Linked DNA regions of Saccharomyces cerevisiae S288C. The gene in region 2 interacts genetically with the main gene of each other region. Each region holds a gene or a part of one and is shown on either strand. Other genes may lie near its edges. The genes, in order: MFA2, POG1, MSN1 and MET5.

Region 1 (3,486 bases), on a different chromosome or scaffold from region 2:
AAGAAAAGTTAAACCGTGGCAATGAAGATGTAAATGGAGATGAAGATGATGACGAAGACGAAGACGATGCTAATTACGAAGAGGATGATGAAGATGGATATGTTGAGGATGATGACATCAATAGATTGGTATATTTGGATGAAAGAGAATCTCGCTATGAGAATGCGGACGTTGAGTACGGTACAATATTCAGTACGAAAAGCTTTTCCGTGACTGGTTGTTTAAATCATGATTTTCCAAAGAAATTGTCACTAAAATGTGGAAATAAGAATCAATCCAGTAACGATTCGAAGTGGGCACCGGCGACACAACTAGTTTCAAGGAAAAGATATATCAAAGACTCATTAAGATGCATCAAACCGTTAACGGAAGACCACCCATGGGTAGGTAAGATTATTTTCAAACCGGCACTGCCACCAGCATTCGAAACGAATAATCCACCTATAAGAGTTTATAGTGGTGAAGATAGTACGGACTTGATGCACGTGAAAAACCATTATTTAAAGCCATACATAGTGGGATCCTGCGGGTTTTTGAAAACTGGCTCAAAACTTTTTCACTTTTACGATAGAACTAACGACCTTACGAATTTATGAAATATATGTGTTTTTAATGATTAAATAATAGTCAAAAATATAATTAAAAAAAAAATCGAATGTAATGGGTGGTTCATCTTTCATTTCCTGCGGAGGGAAAGGCGTATCAGAAAAGAAAAACATGAAAAAATCTGTTAAAGTGATAACTACAAATACATATGTATAAAAGTATGAAAAAGTATGGAAAGGGTGAGCTAATGATGAGAGAATTGGAATAAATTAGTTTGCCAGCAACACGTAATAAATGAAAGGGTAGATATTGATTTGACCTCTTGGTTGTCGTCAAAAATTAAGCGATAACACAGGCGGGATCCCAGAAGAGGCCCTTGATTATATAGTTGTCTTTCTTTTCAGAGGATTTATCCTTCTGAGTGGCTTGTGTGGAAGCAGTGGTGATCGGTTGCATTAAGGTTGGTAGTTATTGTTGTATGAAGATGATAGCTCGCTGGTGTCTCTAGTGATGTCAATGAACGGATGAACGACAGAAGAAGTGGATGGAAATAAAATGGTTATTTATCAGATATTTATATACAAAATTACGTGGTAATGCAACAGCTTTTTCCTCTCGCTTTGTTCTTTTTCCTCTGACATGCATGTTTCATTTTCGTTCCTTATGGCATCCATGTCATGTAAATTTCCCGAATAGGTAAATACATGCTTTTTTAACTTAAAAAATTATGGGCGTCCTATGCATGCACTTAACGGAAAAGGAAACTATCAATTAATTATGTAGTAGATGGTGTACCTATTATTGCATTAGTATTTGTTTCAAATGAAAACATGCTGCTTTAACTTTTCTAATTTATACCATAAACGGTATAGTAATGATGAAACTGAAAAATAAAAAAATAAACAGTCTGGTCTTATCGACCATGTTAACATCATCAAAATCCACCAAGTTTTCCGAGAAAATAGATGAGGGCCTGTTATTATTACTAACTGAGTTTGAATTCTTTTTGTAAAATCGTGGCAGTAGTTCTTGAAATGTCATTTTGAAGGACACTGAGTTTCGAAATATCAACATTATGAGTATGAATAAAAGTGTAAGGATAATGATCCTTTTGAGTTCCATGTGATGAGAAGTGGTATGCTTAGTATTGCTCATACTGGACAAATACGAAAGGAATCAGTAAATAATTAAGATTGTAGAGGGAGGGGTGTATGTGTATGCGGATACTTTTTTGATTTGGCAGAAGGAAAATTGGTATTGGCAGCTGTACAGTGACTCCCCTTATACAAATGATCTCAGTTTGTTTCGTTTTTCCTCATTCTCTGGCTTTAGACTTCAAATCGCGGTGTAAAAAAAATAGGACAAAACTATGTAGCGCATACTATGTCAGTCAGGTATTGAGAATATGTAAAGAAATGCCATACCGTGATTTGATTTTGTTTTCAACTGTAAGGAAGGGAGTTTATATGAGATTATATTATTAAACCTATTTTTGCATATATAGTACATCAGAACCTTCGGCGGAACTTAAAGAGACCAAAATAGTACCTCTTATGACGGTCAAACCTAGCTTTCTTGCGTTTTTAGAAATCAGTTCAGTGTTGTTTTCATCATCAGGATTAGACATATATTCTACTGTATCATCAAGTACCAAGTTCATCAGTTGATCATAGCCTTTTAGGACACCTATAACTAATTTACCACCCATTAATTTGACGCGAATTTTAGAATCTTTATACTTCGCTAAATCCAGAATAGCTTCTCTTTTAGGGCCTTCGAATTTTTTCCTTTGCTGTTGTGGTTTGTTCTCTGATTTCTTAGTTCAAAAAGGAAACATAGTTATTATAATGTTAGTATAAATAAGTCAAAAGGAAGGTTATTGCCACGGAAGAAAATAAGAAGTGAAACATACGGAGTGTTGCTGATGCATGTTTTTTTGGTTAATGTTCTGTGTAGTAAACAAAGTGCTGCTCTCAAATAACTTTCTTTTTTACTGTAGTAGTATACACGTACATGCGTATTCTTAATTGTCGTTTCCCAGTTGTCTGTTTTCAGCTACAGCTTTTTTCGCCTTTGTTCGAAAGAACAGTACTTTTTTCCGGCTCGCAGGGAAACGGCAGTTGAAGAAGACAAGCGACAAGAACATAGAGCAACGAATTCAAATAAAGAGATAGAAAAAAAAATTACATGGCAAAACTATGGTTAGAGTTGTCATAGAGAGTGAATTGGTCCGTACAGAAAAGGAATTACCAAATTCGCTTAAATTAAGGCAGTTCAAGGACCGATTGTACCATGTTACCGGAGTGGAACCAGAGGATATGGAAATAGTTGTGAAAAGACAGTACGACAACAAGGAGATATATAGTACTAAAAAGGGGGGTGCCTATTCAAATGAGGATGAAGATGCCAACTTCCTAAAAGGAGAGGAGGAGCTTATTGTGGTTGTTACAGACTCTAATGCCCAATCAATCTCTAACCAGCTGGCCACGCAAGCGGAAGGAATCCCCTCAATGGAAGTAATTAGCGAGGAGGATTATTTGCGAAGGGATCAATCCGTATTACGATGGAAGATGGCTCACGGCTATGGTAGGTTTAATGCTGCACAGCAGAGCCAGCGCGCTGCGCTGGCAAAGCAGGACGAAGCATATGCCCGAGAGCAATTAACGGCGGCTATCGGCCGCCACTGTCGTGTCACAGTAGACGGGAGCGCTCCACGTGAGGCCATTTTACGGTACGTAGGACCACTACCGTTGGACGTGATGGGCACATGGTGCGGTGTGGAATTCCCGGAAGCCGCAGGCAAAAACGATGGGCGCATAAATGGGGTAACACTGTTTGGGCCTGTGGCGCCGGGTCACGGATCGTTTGTGCGTCCGCGGGCTGTGGAAATTCTATCAAAAGACGAAGAATCCGCCGAGGTGGAAGACGTCCATGATGACG
Region 2 (4,569 bases):
AAGAATGGGAGCTCTATTTAAGTATGATTTTGGGGTGACAGAACCATTCCCGGATATGTTCCTCTTTGTTTCTGGCAAAATTAAAAACGAGGCTAGGAAGCAAATGCCAGATCCAATTGCTAAGAACCAAAAGATGGCTCTCCATCCCCATCTAGATGATAATCCGGCACCGATAAGGGCTCCGAACGCAGAACCTAGAACTTGAAATCCAGCAACATATCCAACGTACCCGCCGCGCTCGGCTCTAGTAGTAACATCTCCCATTATTCCGCTGTTAATCGCAATCACGGGTGAAATACCGGCGGCTTGTAGACATCTTAGCACAATGATCTGAGCATACGTTTGAGCACAAGCAAGACCGATGCAGGCACCAAAATAAATGACGATTGCGACAAGCACCACCGGTCTCCTGCCCAGTGAATCGGCAAACCCGCCCATGAATGTGGGGGCAAGACCCTGAAATACAAAATATACTACAACAGTGACATTCACCAATTCCTCGTCAATATCGAATTTTCTTTCTATAACGCTCAGAACTGGATAGTAGATGGCACCTGCTATTGTGGAGAAAAACCCAGTGAAAGCGCACTGAGCTATTAAAACTGTCTTGAAAGAACGGGAAAAGCGTGAGTGAGGCGGAGCGGTTATCTCCGGTTCTGGCTTTACACTCTCGGTCCTAGTCAAAGCCAATTTGTCTGCAGTTTCTCTATTATATGACTGCATACTCTCCGCAAGCTCGTCCTCAAAATCATTTTCCCGAATTATACTTGATGTTGCTCCTGCCATCGTTGCAGTACTCAAGTTTGAGAGCAGAGTTTCTACTAAAATGACCAGCAACTGACTTGCCGTTTTTACAATGTATATTTATATACCCCATTATCTAGAGATTGCTTCTTTATCTAGGAAAAGATGGTGACGCCGTTTATCTGTTCTGTAACCGCCATTACTATTTTCATCAGGGCCAACAAAAAAAAGTCCAGTAGCTCATACGACATCATCTGAGCCAAGACACATTTTCTCGAGAAAAATGTGGTGAAAGGCACAGATTTGGGGGGGAGGTCAGGATGCTGAAAAATTATTACCTCCGTCTTACGACCGCTCAGACGGGTAAGAACACCGGGGGTGGACAAGACAGTTAAGCAGACTGAATCCAAAATGACAGCATATATTATCAATATCCTGTTTATTCATGATTGAAATGAGATAAGGAGTAAAGGCAAAGAAATCGTAATAATAACACTGTAGCATATATATGGATATATATTTTTTTTTGAACTGAAGTAAGGTGGACGGATGCATCGAATGAAGGTTAGGAAGGGATATAGTTTTAGAAATTAGGTGATAAAAATGAAAATTACTGCACGTCATGTGGGAGGAGGATGTTTTGGTGTATGAATGAGAAAATTGACGGGCCTTTGGGACGAAGCCGGCTGGGGATTTCGCATGGGCGACCTAAAATTTGCCATGGAAATATTGGCACTTTGTGACCTTCTATGACTAAAACTTTTTCTTGACTGGTCTCGTTCCTGACCAGGTTGCAGCTGGTGCTGCTGCCCGTATATATTTGCCTGTGGGCCCATACTCATTACCGGATGAGCACCTATATTTTGTTGGTAAAGGCCATGCTGGTTCAAGGAAAGAAACTGTGAGCTCATCACTGGTGTCTGGGACTCCGAGTTTGAGCTCATTGTAGGAAGCTGAGCTTGTGGTCCCATCCCTGGTGGATATAAATACTGCGGCATTATCTGTTGCACTTGTGGTTGCGGAGGTTGCATATACGGGTTGCTCATCCACTGATTTGCAGGCATAGGTAAAGTATATGCGCCTGGTTGCTGGTGTATTTGAGGGTATCCGACCCCTGTCTCAACTTCTGACACTGTAGGTATATCAGATCTATATCTTCTATGGCCTCGTGGACTTGCAAGTTCGGAGGCGTTTATCTTGCGTTTCTTTGTCGTTATCGGAGACGGTATCGTAAGATGATTGTTGTTATCATTATTTGTATCTCTATTCATGGACATATCAAGAATCTTGTTTAATGTCGAATCACTTATTTTATCACTTTCCATACATTTATCAATAATCTGGTTTAGTTTCGCAAGATTTGACTCGCGTATCTTTTCTAGTTCTTTTGTGTCGTTTATCAATCGTACGTTTAAAAATTGCTCCACTAGGCCAGTGTCGCATGCATTTAGTTCTTGAATATCGTCAAACCCAAGTTGTTTTAATATTCTTATTCGAAGCGATAGAGACTTTTCTGTTTGCGATGATTCCACTGGTCTACTGTTGGTACTCTCGTCTCCTGTACTAGCTGTCACGGTTGTACCAGAAGATAATGAGGTATGCTGCTCTCGTTCAACAGCCATTGGTCCTTTCGGCTTCTCTTTTTCTTCGGATTGTCTATGTGGCTCCTGCTTCATAATATGGCATCCACTTTGATTTTCGTCTTTACTTATTTTTTTTCAATTTCTGCAATTAATCGTGGGACTCTTGAAATGTTTTGCGCCTTTTTGTATGAGTTAAGCGCAGGGATTGCACGCAATTTATTTCCTCTTCTGCGTAGCCTTTAAAATACGCGAACCTTAAGTGATATCAGTACGCGATTTGATCTTAGTTTTACTTATCTGTTAAAATAAGATACCTTGGGTTCCCAGTGTCTTTTCTACTATTGCTTCACACCTTATTATTTTTGTGCACTTTTGCTTTTATGAGAATAGGCAGTGCATACCTTTTAATTTCTTAGCACTCTGAATTTTCCAACCTCTACGAAAAAAAAGGAAGAACTTACAAAGTTCCCCCATCTGAAGCAGTAAATTTCCAAAAATTTTTTTCACCATCCGCATTTTCCCTTTTTGATCCACAATTGCCCAAAACAGTAATATTTTACGGGTAATGGCGGGGCAAAGCTCATCTCCGCAGATCCTCTTCGCGCCGACAGGCGCTGGGGGCTGAAAACACTACGTGCGGAAAGTTGTGCCTTCATGTCCTGATTCGGAAATGTGATGATTTCGTAAACCTACACAATATCCCCTTTGAGACTATTGCAGAGCTGCATATGTACTATTTTTAGCTGTCTAGGAACAGGCTACAGTAAAAGGAGGCCGGAAAGCTGAAGATGAAAAGAGTTCTTAAATTTCTTATGGGTATCGGACAGTATGTGTTTTCTTATGTAAATCTATTTAAAATTGTTCCGTCTTTGAAAATCTCTCTATCCAAGAATACTACTTGCTAGTTAAAGATAATCGTAATGAATCTTGGCTATATTTGGTCGTCTAACAAGTTCACTTGGATAATGGTACAGAAACATTGAGGCCATTAACGAAAAGAAAAAGGTGGACAGTATAAATATCGGTAAAAAGAAAAGGGGACCATAGTGATTGTGTGAGGTATAGGGGGTGAGATGTGTTCGAAAAAAGAAAAAAAAAAGGAAAAGTAGTAGTCACGTAGCTTAATTGTATAAGACGAAATGAGCTTTACCGGAAGTAACAGAGACGGTACACCCGTCAGCACCGCCAGAGAACTCACCATTTTCGTAAACACATTCACCGATGACATTGGATGAATCATCAGCAGCAACTATCTTGACGTTGTAGTTCAATGCGTCGCTGTTGTTTGGGTTAGGAATCAATGATAAGTATGTCACTCCACCAGTGGAGCCAGCACCAAAGTTTAATGGTGCCCAGTTACCAATACCAGATCCAGAAGTACCCCAGATACACCCATCTTCAACTGAGACGCCGGCGTTATTAACGTAGTATTGAGCAGATGTCTTTTTGCCTTCCCAAGTAAAGTAAGTATCTTGGTCAACAACGGTCAATGGCAAAGAGCTACCCCCTTCAACATAGGTTGGGATAACCATGTTTTCAGTGCCCGGGTAGTCGGTTCTGCAAATGGCGACACCCTTGCTTAGTTTAGAAACAACATAGGCAGCCTCGACACCCCATTCACATAAGTAATCCGCGTCAGTGTTAGAACGGTACAAATAACCATTTTTACACAACAAACCCCCGACAGATCTACCGTCAGATGGTTGATCGGATGGCCATTGGGTCTTAGACATACCTGGTTGGCAGGAGTAGGAACAGTAGGACCCCTCCTTGCATGAACCGCCAGTGGAAGTGTCGGTGTTTTCCACACCGGACCATCCACCCTCGCCAATCCAGTCAATAGAAATGACACCTTGACCAGATGGGAATTTGTCACATGGAATAGTGCCGTCTTGGAATTTCTCACTTGGGCCTGAAAAGTCGGCCAAATCACCGTAGATACTACCACTGCCAGAAGAAGAAGAAGAAGAGGAGGAGGAGGAGGAAGAGGAAGAGGAAGTAGAAGAAGTGGAAGTAGAAGTAGAAGTAGATGGTGAAGTGGAAGAAGTACTAGATTTAGTGGCAGAAGAAGCACTAGATTGGGTTGCGGAAGAAGTTGACACGACAGTAGATGTTGGAGCAGCTTCTTCACTAGATGAAGAAACAGAGCTGCTTTCTAGGGTAGAAGTTGCCGAGGAGGAGGAGGAGGAGGAGGATGCCCCTTGAGATGTTGAGGCAGTGGCAGATGCAGCGGCATCAGAGA
Region 3 (4,734 bases), on a different chromosome or scaffold from region 2:
TGTTATTTGATTCATCACCTGGATCTTGAATGGCCAATGAAAATGGATTTTTAATAGGCTGAATAGCACTCCATGTCGATTTTGGAAAGTATACTGGATATCCATCCGATGATCCCAGTGCAACATCATCATAACCAAAATTTTTCCCATAAAGTTCAAAAAACTCTATCAGGAGCACACCCAAGTTGTCCTTTGGATCTATTTCGTTAGTTATTATACGTGGGTGCATATGCAAAAAGGAAAAGACAAGACATATAATACTAAACCCACCAAGACCACCGGTATGCACATTATTTAGTCTTCTTGCGTGTAGGAATTGTTTTACGATAAGGACTAATTCTCTCAGGCCGGGGGTATCGTCCAACCACTCTCTAATAAGCTTTGCTGCTTCAATACCATTTGTTCTCTCAAATGAAACATCTATGTGGATCCCTGAATGTGGCTCAACAAACTTGATGATTGGAACGCGAGCTTTGGCGACAACTTCAACCTCTGTTGCCAAATTTTTTTTTTTTAAATGGCTTGCTAACGAATACAAGTTATTCCTACTTTCCTTACCACCAAGTTCGCTCGTTACCACGCAATCAATATCGGAACCAGGCAAATACAAATCGGTAGAATATGATCCAAACACGTGCAAATCAGCATCTGGCCATAACTGTTTGACAGCCTCTCTTATTGTACTTATGGTTTGATTACGAATTTCAATTTCTTCACGACTTGGTGAGATATAGGCAACAAAATCCTTGATTTCAAAGGTTAGCCAGTCCGAGATTTCTTTCTGTTTGGAGTGATCATGATTTAAAATCCATGGATAATCAGTATTAAGGATTTCCTTTTGCTTTTCTTTTTTAATTTCTAATTCTTGTTTCTCCCTCTCCTCTTCCTGTTCGGCTTGCTCATCCTCAGAACTAGCAGAAAGAGAGATAAAATCATCATTGTTAGCAAGATCCTTCTCATCCCCGTGCACTGCTAATGAAGGCGTTTTACTTTCTTCAGTAGTCGAGGGAATATCAGTAGGGTTATCGAAATGTCCATCGTAGACATCGAATCCTTCATCATCATCAGATTTATGTTCTAATACAAGAATTCCATCCGCCGTGACGTGATCTTTAGGTAATTTATTTGTCTCTTGCTCATTACGACTAGGTAAAATCTCTACTTCGTTTTCGTCGTTCAAGGATATAGACTTCTGTGGTTTCCGTACTTTCTTGATTTTCTTGCTCTTTTTCACTTTCCCATTATGCCGGTTTTTAATCTTCTTTGAAGAAGAGGCTGTTACACTCTTTGCCCCCATATTTCAAGTATAGTTCCCTTGCTTATTCACACTTTATGAAAGCGTAACGTTTTTGGTCGTATATTCAAATGGTTTTTTTTTAATGAAACTTAATAGTTATTCTATATTATTTTCCTCTTTTTTTTATTTTATTTTTTTTTTCACACATTATTTTAGAATCATATACAAGAAGCCGAGGATGAATACAGGTTTCTTCGACACTCAACGTGATAATCAAAAGGCAAGATAAGAAAACTGAGTAAACCTAAATATCTCACGCTTGGGATCCTTTACTTAAATTCAGTTAGGTGTTCAGCTATTCTAAATTCAAGAGCGTAAAGTACAAGGCATATTATATAGATATGTATACGTATACAATTGTTGTTGGCTGACTTCTGAGTTTTATAGGATATTATTAGAGATTATTGTTACAGATACAACCCACTTTAAAGGAAAGTCCAATTATTAATTTATTAAGAAAAGCATAAGTGTTACAAGGGCTAATTTGGGATAAAGGTGAATACACAAGAAGCAAATGTCACTTCAAAGTCTCTGGAATATGAGAACTGTGGCATAACCAACCAATAGGTTGTTTAACCTTCTGTTTATCATTAACATATCTTGAGTTTTCTAATATTTCAACAACATAGTTTAATGAATACCCACGATTAAGGCCAGTTTGAATGGCTTTCCAAAGAACCTTTCTTCTCGAATATCTTTTATTTACTGCTGGATCTCGCCTCCATGCCGTTTGATAAAGAGCTTCCATTTTCCTTATAGAAGGCTGCCCGTTAACACCTTCTGTATACTCCTTCCAAACCTCCATCACAGAGTGTGGTGACTTGATAAATTCGAAGGGTCTTGTGCAGACTATTCGTTTCCGTTTCAATCCTGTTTTAGTCTCATACTGTTCCTCCTCAAATGTCGGCACGCTCTCTTGTGCATTTGATTCAACCGCATTTTCATGGTTAGGAGAAACTTTCTGGAGATTAGGAGACTGCCGTGATTGAGAAGAGTTGCTGCTTATGTACAGTCCTTGACTTTGGCCACCATCATTGTTAGGTGGATTTGCTGAATACTCTTCCAAGGATGGGACTAAATTGGAATTATAATTTTGCGGCTTGTTGAACCGAGTGTCCACTGAAGGGTTGGTGCTATTATTTTCTTGGCTTATAGAATTTGAGCTGTTAGTTTGTTGTTGACTCTTATCATTTTCTTGTGAATTTCCATTCAAAATGTCCTCAAAAAGTGTTTCATTACTAACAGCTCCTTCATTTTGCGGATGAGCAGTTTGATCATTATTCATAGGCACTGAAGTATAATTCCTAGGAGCTCCTGGTGCCGTAGTTCCATCAGTGAAGCCTTGTGGGTCAAGAGTTTGGCTTAAGGATATTGACGTAGCTGACACCCCATGCAACGTTCCGCTTAATTTTTCACTGAGAATTTCAGCGTGGCGTTGTTGGTCATTCAGCAATGTTGATAAAAACGCGGTCAGTTCGTTGATTTGTTGCTGTTGGGAGTTTACCACTACATCATATTTTTTAAAGTGAAGATCGAGACGGTTACTTAACGCGTGAAATATACCCTCAAACATCGACATACGCCTTTCCAGCTCAGCAACGCGGTTGGTTAATATAGCCTCATTCTCATTTAGGTTTGAAGCTCCTATGTGCTGGTTACTTGCCATTTCGATGCCTACCTTGAAATAATCTCCTTTTCTGATTTGGTTTCTTTTCTTATAAGCAAGGGGCTTTGTATAATGAATCAGAACACTTTACCCTCAAGCAAATATTTCCTGTTTAACAAACTATGGTCGATAGTTTCCATACCATCAACGCTTTGTAGGTGTACATTTTCATTTCCTTCCACATATCCTTATTATCTTAAATCTCTCCAGAAAAAGCATCACTATAAACGAAATCTTCGAACGGCTTTTACAAAGAAGCTATCTTATGTAAGTGGAATTCCAAAATCGTAATGTTTACACGAACGTGCCTGATCGACATTCTATTCCAGATTGTTAGAGGCCAGTTTGCACAGCTCGAGGTACTTGTTGGAAAACTTCATATACGATGGTAGAAAAGTATCTTCATTCGACTGGTTGCTTACCCTCGGTAATTTTACAGTTTCCCTAGATTTTCTTAATGTATTGAAAAATTCTTTAGAGGATTTGGTTCTTATTCTTGTTGGGTTATTATAAATCGCGACATCGTTAACGTACTCAAAATCTATTAGCCTGGCCTTTTCAGTGGTTTCTTCATCCTTGGGAGAGATCATAAGACGAAATTCTTCTTTAGAACATCTCGGTAGCATGACTTTATTCTCGTCTCCGAAATAGACTAAATCACTTGTCAAATCTAACTTAAAATACACAACCGATCTATTTTTCATTATTGACCTCATTAAAATTGTTAGCAAATCATCTCTTGTCATTTCATTGTCATCACTTATTTGCAGCATACTTATAATGTCACTTATGGAGATACAGGAGTATAATCGTGCAATTTTTCTCCACAACTTTAATGTCTGCGCCAGATAGTAAATATCTTGAATAATTCCACTTAGTACTACGGACAATTCAGGAATAAGAGATATACTTGCATTCAGCTGTCTTAGTTCCAGTTGTGCGAAGCACCTGTAGACATCTTCTAATACGTTAACAATAGGGCTGCCTAGCGCAATCTTCACTTGTTCGAAACCAAAAGGATTAATCTTGTCTGTGCTAATTGCTTCTAGAATCATGCTCGTGAAAATGAAGCCGCTAAGAATGAACTTGTGAAACAAAGAGGTAATATCCCTCTCCCGAAGTTTTCCCATCTCTTCCAAGTGTTTCAAGATATAGAGGAACATATTTTTTAGCTCTTCTTTCCGATCATAATATCTCATCAGCGCAAAGGATAAATCATTCTCTGAATCAGAGTCTAAAATGAATACAATCTTAGAGGTATATAATATTACCATCAGTCCAGATTCTTGTGAGAAAGTAAGCGACTTAGATATCAACATTTCAAAAAAGTCAATGCACTTCTTAAACAACCTTCTATTGTTTATTCGTGCAGTGTTCATATACTCCAATATGTAATACTGCAGTAACATAGATACACTTTCCAAATCATTATTTTCCTCAAAAGAAGAGCATTCATTATCTTTCACAAGAATCTCTATTTGGGAAGAAATTTCCGGGGTGAATACATTCCCCATGGTTAACCTTTGATACCAAACAACGGCAATAAATATCTTTTTTCTAATTATACGCTGGAGATTTTGGAGTTTACAATCCTTGCCAGGCTTTCTTAAAATCCATTGAAACTGATCCATGAAGTTTTTTTGGAAATCAATTTTGCAGATCATATTTTCCCTATCAACTTTCTCGATGTCGAACAAGAATACTCTTTCCCACTTGGGTGCCAATACCTCAAAAGTATCAGAAAGTAATTCAAATATATTTCCATCAATTT
Region 4 (7,891 bases), on a different chromosome or scaffold from region 2:
CAAACCTTTATGAGAGTACTTACCACTGAAAGAGTTTTTGAAATAAGTTTTGGAAAAGTTGTGTAAAAAGGATTTCGTACAATATATTCACCTAAAACAAAAATCAGCCTCTGGAGATGTACAACAGACCCTTCTCTTTGAAGTCTCAGTATGTTCATTGTGCATTCCAATGCGTATAACGTCAAATTTTCGTATGCAAGGCTAGCCCTAGGAATTATGTTTTGCAAGATTATCTCTGACATGAACTTTTCCAGGTGATATTGATACTTTGTGTAATTGTCCAAAAATTCTACTTTATATAACGACTGTATCGTTGGGAAAACGACCCGCCATATGGCTATTGTTTCATCAGCATTGTATGAGGGAGGGAGAAAATAGCACATATTGATTAGCGTCTTTTCGAACAGTGGAAATAAACCAGTACTAGAGAACTGTATCCATTTTGAGTCATTGGTTTCGTTCATAAAGGTATGATTTAATAGCGTCTGTAGGAGCAGAACACCACGAAGTTTAATTCTTCTTATATCAGTGGTATCATCTAGTATGTTTAGAATTCCTGGAATAATCCAAGAAAGATTCGTAGATATGTCTCTCCTTTTCAAATGTAACAGAATTACGTAGAATAACGGAATGCCTTTCAAGCCACCCTGACTTACCCACGCCTGCATTAGGTTATCTTCTTTCAAAGACATTCCAAGCGTGGGTTTGAGACCAAGATTACGTTGCTCTTTGAGTTCGAAGTTGCTTTTGCGTTTTAAAAGTAGTGGCTGTAACTTAGAAATAAGGACGCACATAATTTCGTCATGTTCACTTTTGTTACGCTGAAAGTAGTAATCTATAGTCTGCAAAACATCTGTGTTGATTTGTATGTCTACTCCTGGAGATATGGAGTGATATGAGAGAGATTCAATAAGGTTGACCTCATCGGACACCGTAATTGCACATCCAGTATCTGTCTTCTTTCGTAACTGGAGACACAACTCTCGAAGCCTTGTAGAAGAAAGACTCGAATCATTCAATTCATCGATGATATCAGTTACGGCCGTCATTCTTTTCAATATTTTGTTATATGATTTTATTCTTCACCTCGTTTTCATTCTTCATAGTTTTCGTTTCTCATCTGCTATTGAAAAACCGAACTAGCCGAAGGATAACAATAATGAGTCTTAACTGTTAATATACAAGATTATACAAATAAATATGTTTCTATAAAATAAAAAGTTATATTCAATTGCGAAAAAAATAAATAAATGTGGGAAGAAAACCCAATAGTATGTCCTACTATGTCATATGCTATCATTAATAGGCATCTTCAGACACATCTTCATGGAAGTATTTACCCTCGGTGGTTGGTTTAATGATACCTACTCTTATACAGAAATCACCAAAGTGTTCCCCTTCTTCTCTTTCTAAAGCATACCTTTTAAACAATGGTTTGATGTAGTCGACAATTTCCTCATCCTTCACATTGGCCTTATACAATTTGTTTAGCCTTTGGCCGAGGTAACCACCACCAAGCATCAAGTTATAAGTATGTGGAGCTTTACCAACAAGAGCTAATTCACCTAGCCATGGACGAGAACAACCGTTAGGGCAACCAGTCATTCTCATAATAATGGAATCATGGCGTAAACCATACTCTTCTAAACAATCTTCCAACTGAGTAATAATGTCAGGTAGGAAACGTTCAGATTCGGCAAACGCTAAACCACATGTTGGCAAACCAACACAGGAAGATGAAGATAATCTCAAACCGCTGAAATCGGTGTTATCCAATTTATAGGTCTTTAAAATAGATTTTATTCCAGCAACATGTTCATCTGTAATATTAGAGATAACCAAATGTTGATTACCAGTCAATCTGAAATGACCAGAATTAGTCTTAAGCATGTATTCAGCAACCTTTCTAATACCTGTCTTTTGAGGCAAATCTGGTGTATCTTCAACCCTACCATTTTCAATAAATGCGGTAAAGTGGTTTAACCCAGTTTCATCTTTAATCCATCCAAAGTAATCAATATTAGATTTAAACTCAAATGGTCTCTCAGGCTCGAATTTCTTACCCCAGTATTCCTCCACTTTTTGCTTGAAGCCTTCGACACCCATATCATCTACAGTATACTTTAAACGAGCATGCTTACGGTCTTTACGGTCACCGTGATCTCTTTGGACAATAACGATACCTTCAAGTGGTGGAATAATGTCTTCAGTTTTAACAAAACCTAAGCATGACCCTAATCTTGGGTAAGTTTTCTTGTTGTTATGAGTGGTACCCATACCACCACCAACAAAAACATTATAACCCTCCACGATTTGAGTTTCTGGGTTAACTATAGCAACTAAACCGACATCGATAGATAATACATCCACATCGTTATATGGAGGAACGGCGATGTTGAATTTAAACTTTCTTGGCAGATAAGTTGGACCGTAAATTGGTTCAATATCGACCAAAGCGTTACCGCTAACTAGAGTCTTCTTTTTTCTTGGACCATCTTTTCTGTTTTCAAAAATAGATGGCCAGGATGGATCATCGTCCTGTTCTTCTGGGCCCTCCAGCCAAACTTCGTGGTAGGCCGTAGTCTTTGGTAAGAAATGATCAGAAATCAATTTTCCCATATCAGCGATTTGTTGGTGAACCTTGGCATTGGTTGGTAGAGCAGAAACCATGACATTTCTGTTCACGTCACCTGCAGCAGCTAATGTATCCATAAGAACTGCATTCATTCCTCTCAATGTGTGTTTCAAGTTCTTCTTTAGCACACCATGAATCTGGAAGGTTGCCCTTGTTGTTAATTTCAGGGTACCATTGCCTGAAGTATCAGATAAGTGATCCAGAGCAAGCCATTGTTGTGGAGTGGTCTTACCACCTGGTAAACGAGCTCTTGCCATAAACATATAGTATGGCTCTAAGCCTTGTGACTTACGTATTTCTCTAATGTCACGATCGTCTTGGGTGTAAATACCGTGAAATTTCATTAATTGTTCATTAGCGTGAGTAACACCACCTGAAGAAGTATCCTTTAAGTTCTCACTGATAGTACCTCTCAAGAAATTAGATTCTCTCTTAATATCCTCGTTTGTAACAGGTTTTGGCTCATCATCAACAGCAGCGCCGGAAACACCAAGAGCTTCCCATAATTTAGGTTCCCACTCAGAATAAGCAGTTTGGAAACCATCAGCATCTTGATCATCACCCAGTCCCAAGGGAATTAGGGCTTTGGCACTCAATAATTCCAAGCGCTTAAATAAATCCTGTGAAGGCTTGTTAAAATAATGTTTATCTTCTTTACGTGGCCAATACTCAGAATCACCGAGACCAAAAACAGCAACATTCAAACTAGCTAAATCCAAGTCGGTGTCATTTTTCAGAGCTTCCCAGAAAGACTTACCGTCTTGGGGGAATTCACCTTGCCCAGCCGTGGAAGTAATGAAAACTACATTCTCTTCACCAGGTAATTCTTCCAAAATAATGTCATCCATGGACAGAACAGTAGCCTTTAAACCTCTTGCAGATGCCCTTGCTGCTAGTCTCTTTGCCAAGTTTGCAGCATTACCACCGTCAGAAGCATAATAGACGTGTAGCGGTGGGCCGGACAAACCCTCCAATAACTGATCGAAGGCAGCCTTGCTTCTTTTTTCTTGTTTCCTTGTCAACGCATCACCAGCAGATTGCTTTAGATTTCTTGACAAAGATGGATCTTTTCTGGTTAATAGGGTAAGCTTATTCTCACGGTCTAAGAAGTCCTGTAATTGTTTTCTGATAACCGAAGAATCCAAGCTAAATGCCTCCTTATCTGTTGATGGATCGTCATAAACAGGATTAAACCTATACAATGGCCAGTAACCAGATTCAACGGCGTTTTTGGTTTCCTTTAAGACTTCTAATGGAGTATCATTTTCGGAATTATACGGCAAATAAGCCAAGACAATAGAAGGACCATTGTATTTAGATGCCTCTATTATTGCAGTCAATAGTTGGGTGTAAGAAGCATATACTGCTACAGAGGCAACATAGGCACTGTAATAATTCATGGCGTACAAACCAACATCTTTCTTTCTATCCTGGTTTTGCTTTCTATGGTCATATGGCTCTGAATCAATCAATAAAACATTAATGTTTTTACGGGAGGATAAAACCTGTTGAATACCTGAGTGACCCAAATCATAAGACCAGGCATCGGAGCCAATTAGCCAGCTTGATTTGAAAATAAAAGAATCGCTTGTTGGAGCTATCTTTAAGAATTTTAAGACAGTAGAGGAATCTTGATTAGATTGTAATAACTGAAATATTTCCAAACCTGTCGCATTGGCCTCTTGTAATTGAGCTTCGTCAAGATCGCGTCCATTGAATGACAACCATTTAGATAATAGTTGAACAATTTTATTTGCATCCTCGGACAAGTAAAGACTTGGATCAAGAGAGGTTTTTGCTAAGCTGATCAATTCTTCACGCTGGGCTTCTTGTTTTAAAAAGCGTCCAAAACCAAATTCTGGATTACTTGGTTCAATTGTCTCACTGGAAAATTGATTCAAAATTTGTAGATTTGATGAAAATAACTGTTTTAGCACTTTGATATAGGCGTCTTCTAAGTTCACAACTTTTTTGACAGAAGAAATAAGTTGAGTAACTTCAGCTTGTTCCTCAGCCTTTTCATTGGATTCACCTAAAAATAAGTTATTATCTGGTTCCTTCTTGTTAATATTCGATATGACGGTGTTGATAACGTTGCCATAATCATTCACATTACCAATATTAGTCAACACTACCTGCTCGATGTTCCTAGAAACTAATTCATTAAAATTGCCAAAGAAGTCCAAAAGAAATGGTTGAAATTCGTTTGATTGCGATTTCTTAGAGACACCCTGTAAAACGGCGATTTTGGTAACAGAAGATGGCAGTATTTCCAAGAACTTGGAAAAATTCCATGGTCTGTATACTCTAATCTTGATCAATCCTACGTTTGAAGGCAATACGCTACTGAATTCCGCGTCATATGGTGACAGGTTAACAATGACAGTGGTAATTGACTCTTTACCTTTAACCAGTTCAAAATTTGTCAATGAATCAGTAGCTTCTGATAATGCTACTTTAGTCTCTTCGTTAGCAATCTCCAAGGTAGGAAAGTCGATGTCTTGTTCAATAGCTGTACTCGTGCCAATTTTCTCCAAGTTAAGAAAATGGAAAACTGGGGTCAGAGAACTTGTAGCAATCTTATAAGAAGAGTCCGCGTTTGAAATTGCAGTTTGCAAATCAGAAGATATTAAGATGGGGAAAGAAAGATCCTTTAACGCAGGAATTGCGGAATAATCTTGCAAATTCAAATCCACTGTAATCACCAATGGAAGTTTATTAGGAAGAGAATATAGATGGTGGATGGATTTGACCAAAGTAGTTTCATCTGTAAAAACGGTAGTTAAAATGTCCTTAGAGAGTTGATCTTTGATGGTATTCAATGGATCTTGATTGTTCAATAGATGAGTAGCATCTGTGGCAACAGATTCTAGCCCTTTGAAGGATGAATGACTATTTTTTGTGCTAGTAGTGTAGAACACTTTATTTTGGGGAGCACTAGAGGAATATTGCGCCAACAATTGTGGGAGCGTCAAGAGGTCAGAAGCAGTCATTCGCCAATCTTTTGTTTTTCTCTGGTTCCCGTTCCCTACTGTTACTTTATTAGTATATAAGGGATCTGAATAAATATCAAGACGATGGAAAAAAAATAACAAGCAAAGGAACCTTTCTATATCCCAATTTTATTTCACATTAAAAACTATCGTCTTCCAACACTTTATATAACTGCTTGCAGCGGCCAGTAATTCGTCGCATCTCCATGACTCAAATTTTCCAGTGTCTCTTAGCAGTTAAACCATTCCTGCCTCTGTGTGGTGGTAATTGTGGCATTATGAGTTAAGAGATAATACGCACGTGATGAAATTCATTCTGTGAAATATCACGTGGACAAATTATATTACCCGGATTCATAAATCCACGTATTTTACCTGCATCTTTATTGAGTGCTTAGTAAAAGTCAGTTGGTGAAATTCCGCAGATAAAACAGCATATTAGTTGCCTGAAAATAGCCTTATGTGTTGGTTTGATACGTCTTTGTCATTATATACCCAAAGGTTTGTAGTTCATGTTGCGGGTTGGTATGAATAAATTTTTCGTATTTAGTGATTATAATACTTATTACCCATTTCGGCGGCTAATAAGGAATCTGCTAAGATAGGTAAATGTACAATACCATCAATGGCTTCTAAAAGTTTTCAAAGAAGTGGGATAAGGGATGAAAGTTGTGCGTGTGTTGGTTACTTAGGTTCTAATTTGGCTTCAATTTGAAGTGAGATGTTTTGTTTAACATTAGTTTCAAATTAACAGCTTTTGTGAGAAAATATATTTTGGATGAATAGCAGAAAATAGAAATCTGGAAATAAACAAAACAGAGCCAAAATTCTAAGCTTAATAACATGAATATTTGTTTATCTAGCATCTTGTTCCTCCCACTCTTTTTCCGAAAATATGGCTAGCCAACTTAGGTGAATGGGGAAGGGTACTAGATTCATTCATTTATTTCTATTCAAGGACAAGAACTTTTAACATAGTAAGACCTTTATGTTAGTTTGGTGCGGCTGACAAATTCATAGCTAATGTGCTAGAGCTCTTATATTGGTAATTACTAATCCTTCATTGCTATTATGACTATCACATTATAAGGTAATGAAAAATTAAATCATTGTGTACGGATTAAGTCCTTTCTCTAAAAGAGATCACGTGACTATTTGAATCACTATCTATGTTAATCATTATTGTTTAAAAGATAGTAAGTGACAGAACAACGAATTGTTTCTGTAACTACTTTTTAAGCAGGGAAATAACTCAGCACTGACAAGGGACACTTTTTAAGGATGTTCGCTAAATTGCATGGGAAGAAACAAAGACCAATTTCTTCCATCAATTCACAAACTCCAAGGACTAGCAATACTACTCACGCAAATAGCATATCCTTATCATCGGGTAATTTGATAGTAGGTTCCAATAGAAATTTAAGACAAAAGAAAGAGCAGTTTGGTTCTCAACAAAGGGCTTCCGGCAGAAAGCTGATTTCAAATAAGGAAAATGACGATAACGTCAACAATGGTGGTGACAACAATTATGACAATGGGGAACGGGTCCATCGCCATCATATTCCAGGACTGAAAATAAAGGCGTATCAAGCTGAATTAGGCTATCATGAGTCCCGATTTTCCGAGAATTTAGTGATGCTAAATCTAGTTGAGTTCCCGGATATAAAACCTGGTGATTTGGTAGAATTGAAAACATATCACAAAAATCCATCTGCATCGAACGGAGATAAGAAAATTTATTTTATTGCAAAAGATTTTGACGGAGAGACTAAAAGAAGGGCAAAAACATCTAATGTTTCAATACTTTCGGGTCAACTGCAAACTTTGTTAGATTTGCCTTCTAGGTCTAGGATATGGATAAAATTGAAACCAAACAAATTTGACTTACAGGCAGATGTGGTAGAGTTTAATATCAAAGATTGCCTACTAAATAGAGGTGATATGTGGGTTCTATCATCTAAGCTGGTAGATACATGTGTGTTTATGGATCAAAGACTGGCATTCTTAGACTCTATCAGAGGTACTATTAAGGGAATTTATCGAAATGGTAAGAAGATTGTTTCTGGATATATTGGCGAACAAACAAGGATAATTTTTCGGTCCGAATCTGCCAGATTAATTTTTTTGATTCAAATAACTGATGAAATGTGGAACTTCGAAGAAACTGGTGAACAATTATTTCAAAAGATGGTTAATTCATTTTTCCCGAAGATCTTCAAAAAATGGAAAGATGTGGACACCCACCATACTATCACTATAGCCT

What was found.
Region 1: mutations in POG1 (region 2) and MFA2 together harm fitness more than expected from each alone (negative genetic interaction), as found in Saccharomyces cerevisiae (2 studies listed by BioGRID).
Region 3: mutations in POG1 (region 2) and MSN1 together harm fitness less than expected from each alone (positive genetic interaction), as found in Saccharomyces cerevisiae (one large-scale study listed by BioGRID).
Region 4: mutations in POG1 (region 2) and MET5 together harm fitness more than expected from each alone (negative genetic interaction), as found in Saccharomyces cerevisiae (one large-scale study listed by BioGRID).

The regions. Positions count from the first base shown.
Region 1 is NC_001146.8:349,930-353,415, reverse strand, and holds MFA2 (mating pheromone a), read right to left. Parts: upstream 1,003-3,486; coding exon 886-1,002; downstream 1-885. Other genes in the region: MPF1 (Mpf1p), read left to right, coding at 1-596; YNL146W (uncharacterized protein), read right to left, coding at 1,399-1,701; YNL146C-A (uncharacterized protein), read left to right, coding at 1,836-2,030; Sm-like protein LSM7, read right to left, coding at 2,033-2,362, 2,459-2,476; ALF1 (Alf1p), read left to right, coding at 2,745-3,486. UniProt on the Saccharomyces cerevisiae protein: The active factor is excreted into the culture medium by haploid cells of the A mating type and acts on cells of the opposite mating type (type alpha).
Region 2 is NC_001141.2:128,461-133,029, reverse strand, and holds POG1 (Pog1p), read right to left. Parts: upstream 2,421-4,569; coding exon 1,365-2,420; downstream 1-1,364. Other genes in the region: QDR2 (cation transporter), read right to left, coding at 1-786; putative glucosidase SIM1, read right to left, coding at 3,449-4,569. UniProt on the Saccharomyces cerevisiae protein: Transcriptional activator which promotes cell cycle recovery with CLN2, after pheromone induced G1 arrest, probably inhibiting the ability of STE20 to activate the pheromone response pathway.
Region 3 is NC_001147.6:98,038-102,771, reverse strand, and holds MSN1 (Msn1p), read right to left. Parts: upstream 2,964-4,734; coding exon 1,815-2,963; downstream 1-1,814. Other genes in the region: non-canonical poly(A) polymerase PAP2, read right to left, coding at 1-1,297; RRI2 (Rri2p), read right to left, coding at 3,284-4,734. UniProt on the Saccharomyces cerevisiae protein: May function as a transcriptional activator. Increased dosage of MSN1 restores invertase expression in yeast mutants defective in the SNF1 protein kinase, and msn1 disruption reduced derepression of invertase in the wild-type. May affect SUC2 expression.
Region 4 is NC_001142.9:677,658-685,548, forward strand, and holds MET5 (sulfite reductase (NADPH) subunit beta), read right to left. Parts: upstream 5,629-7,891; coding exon 1,300-5,628; downstream 1-1,299. Other genes in the region: TTI2 (Tti2p), read right to left, coding at 1-1,049; GTPase-activating protein IML1, read left to right, coding at 6,910-7,891. UniProt on the Saccharomyces cerevisiae protein: Catalyzes the reduction of sulfite to sulfide, one of several activities required for the biosynthesis of L-cysteine from sulfate.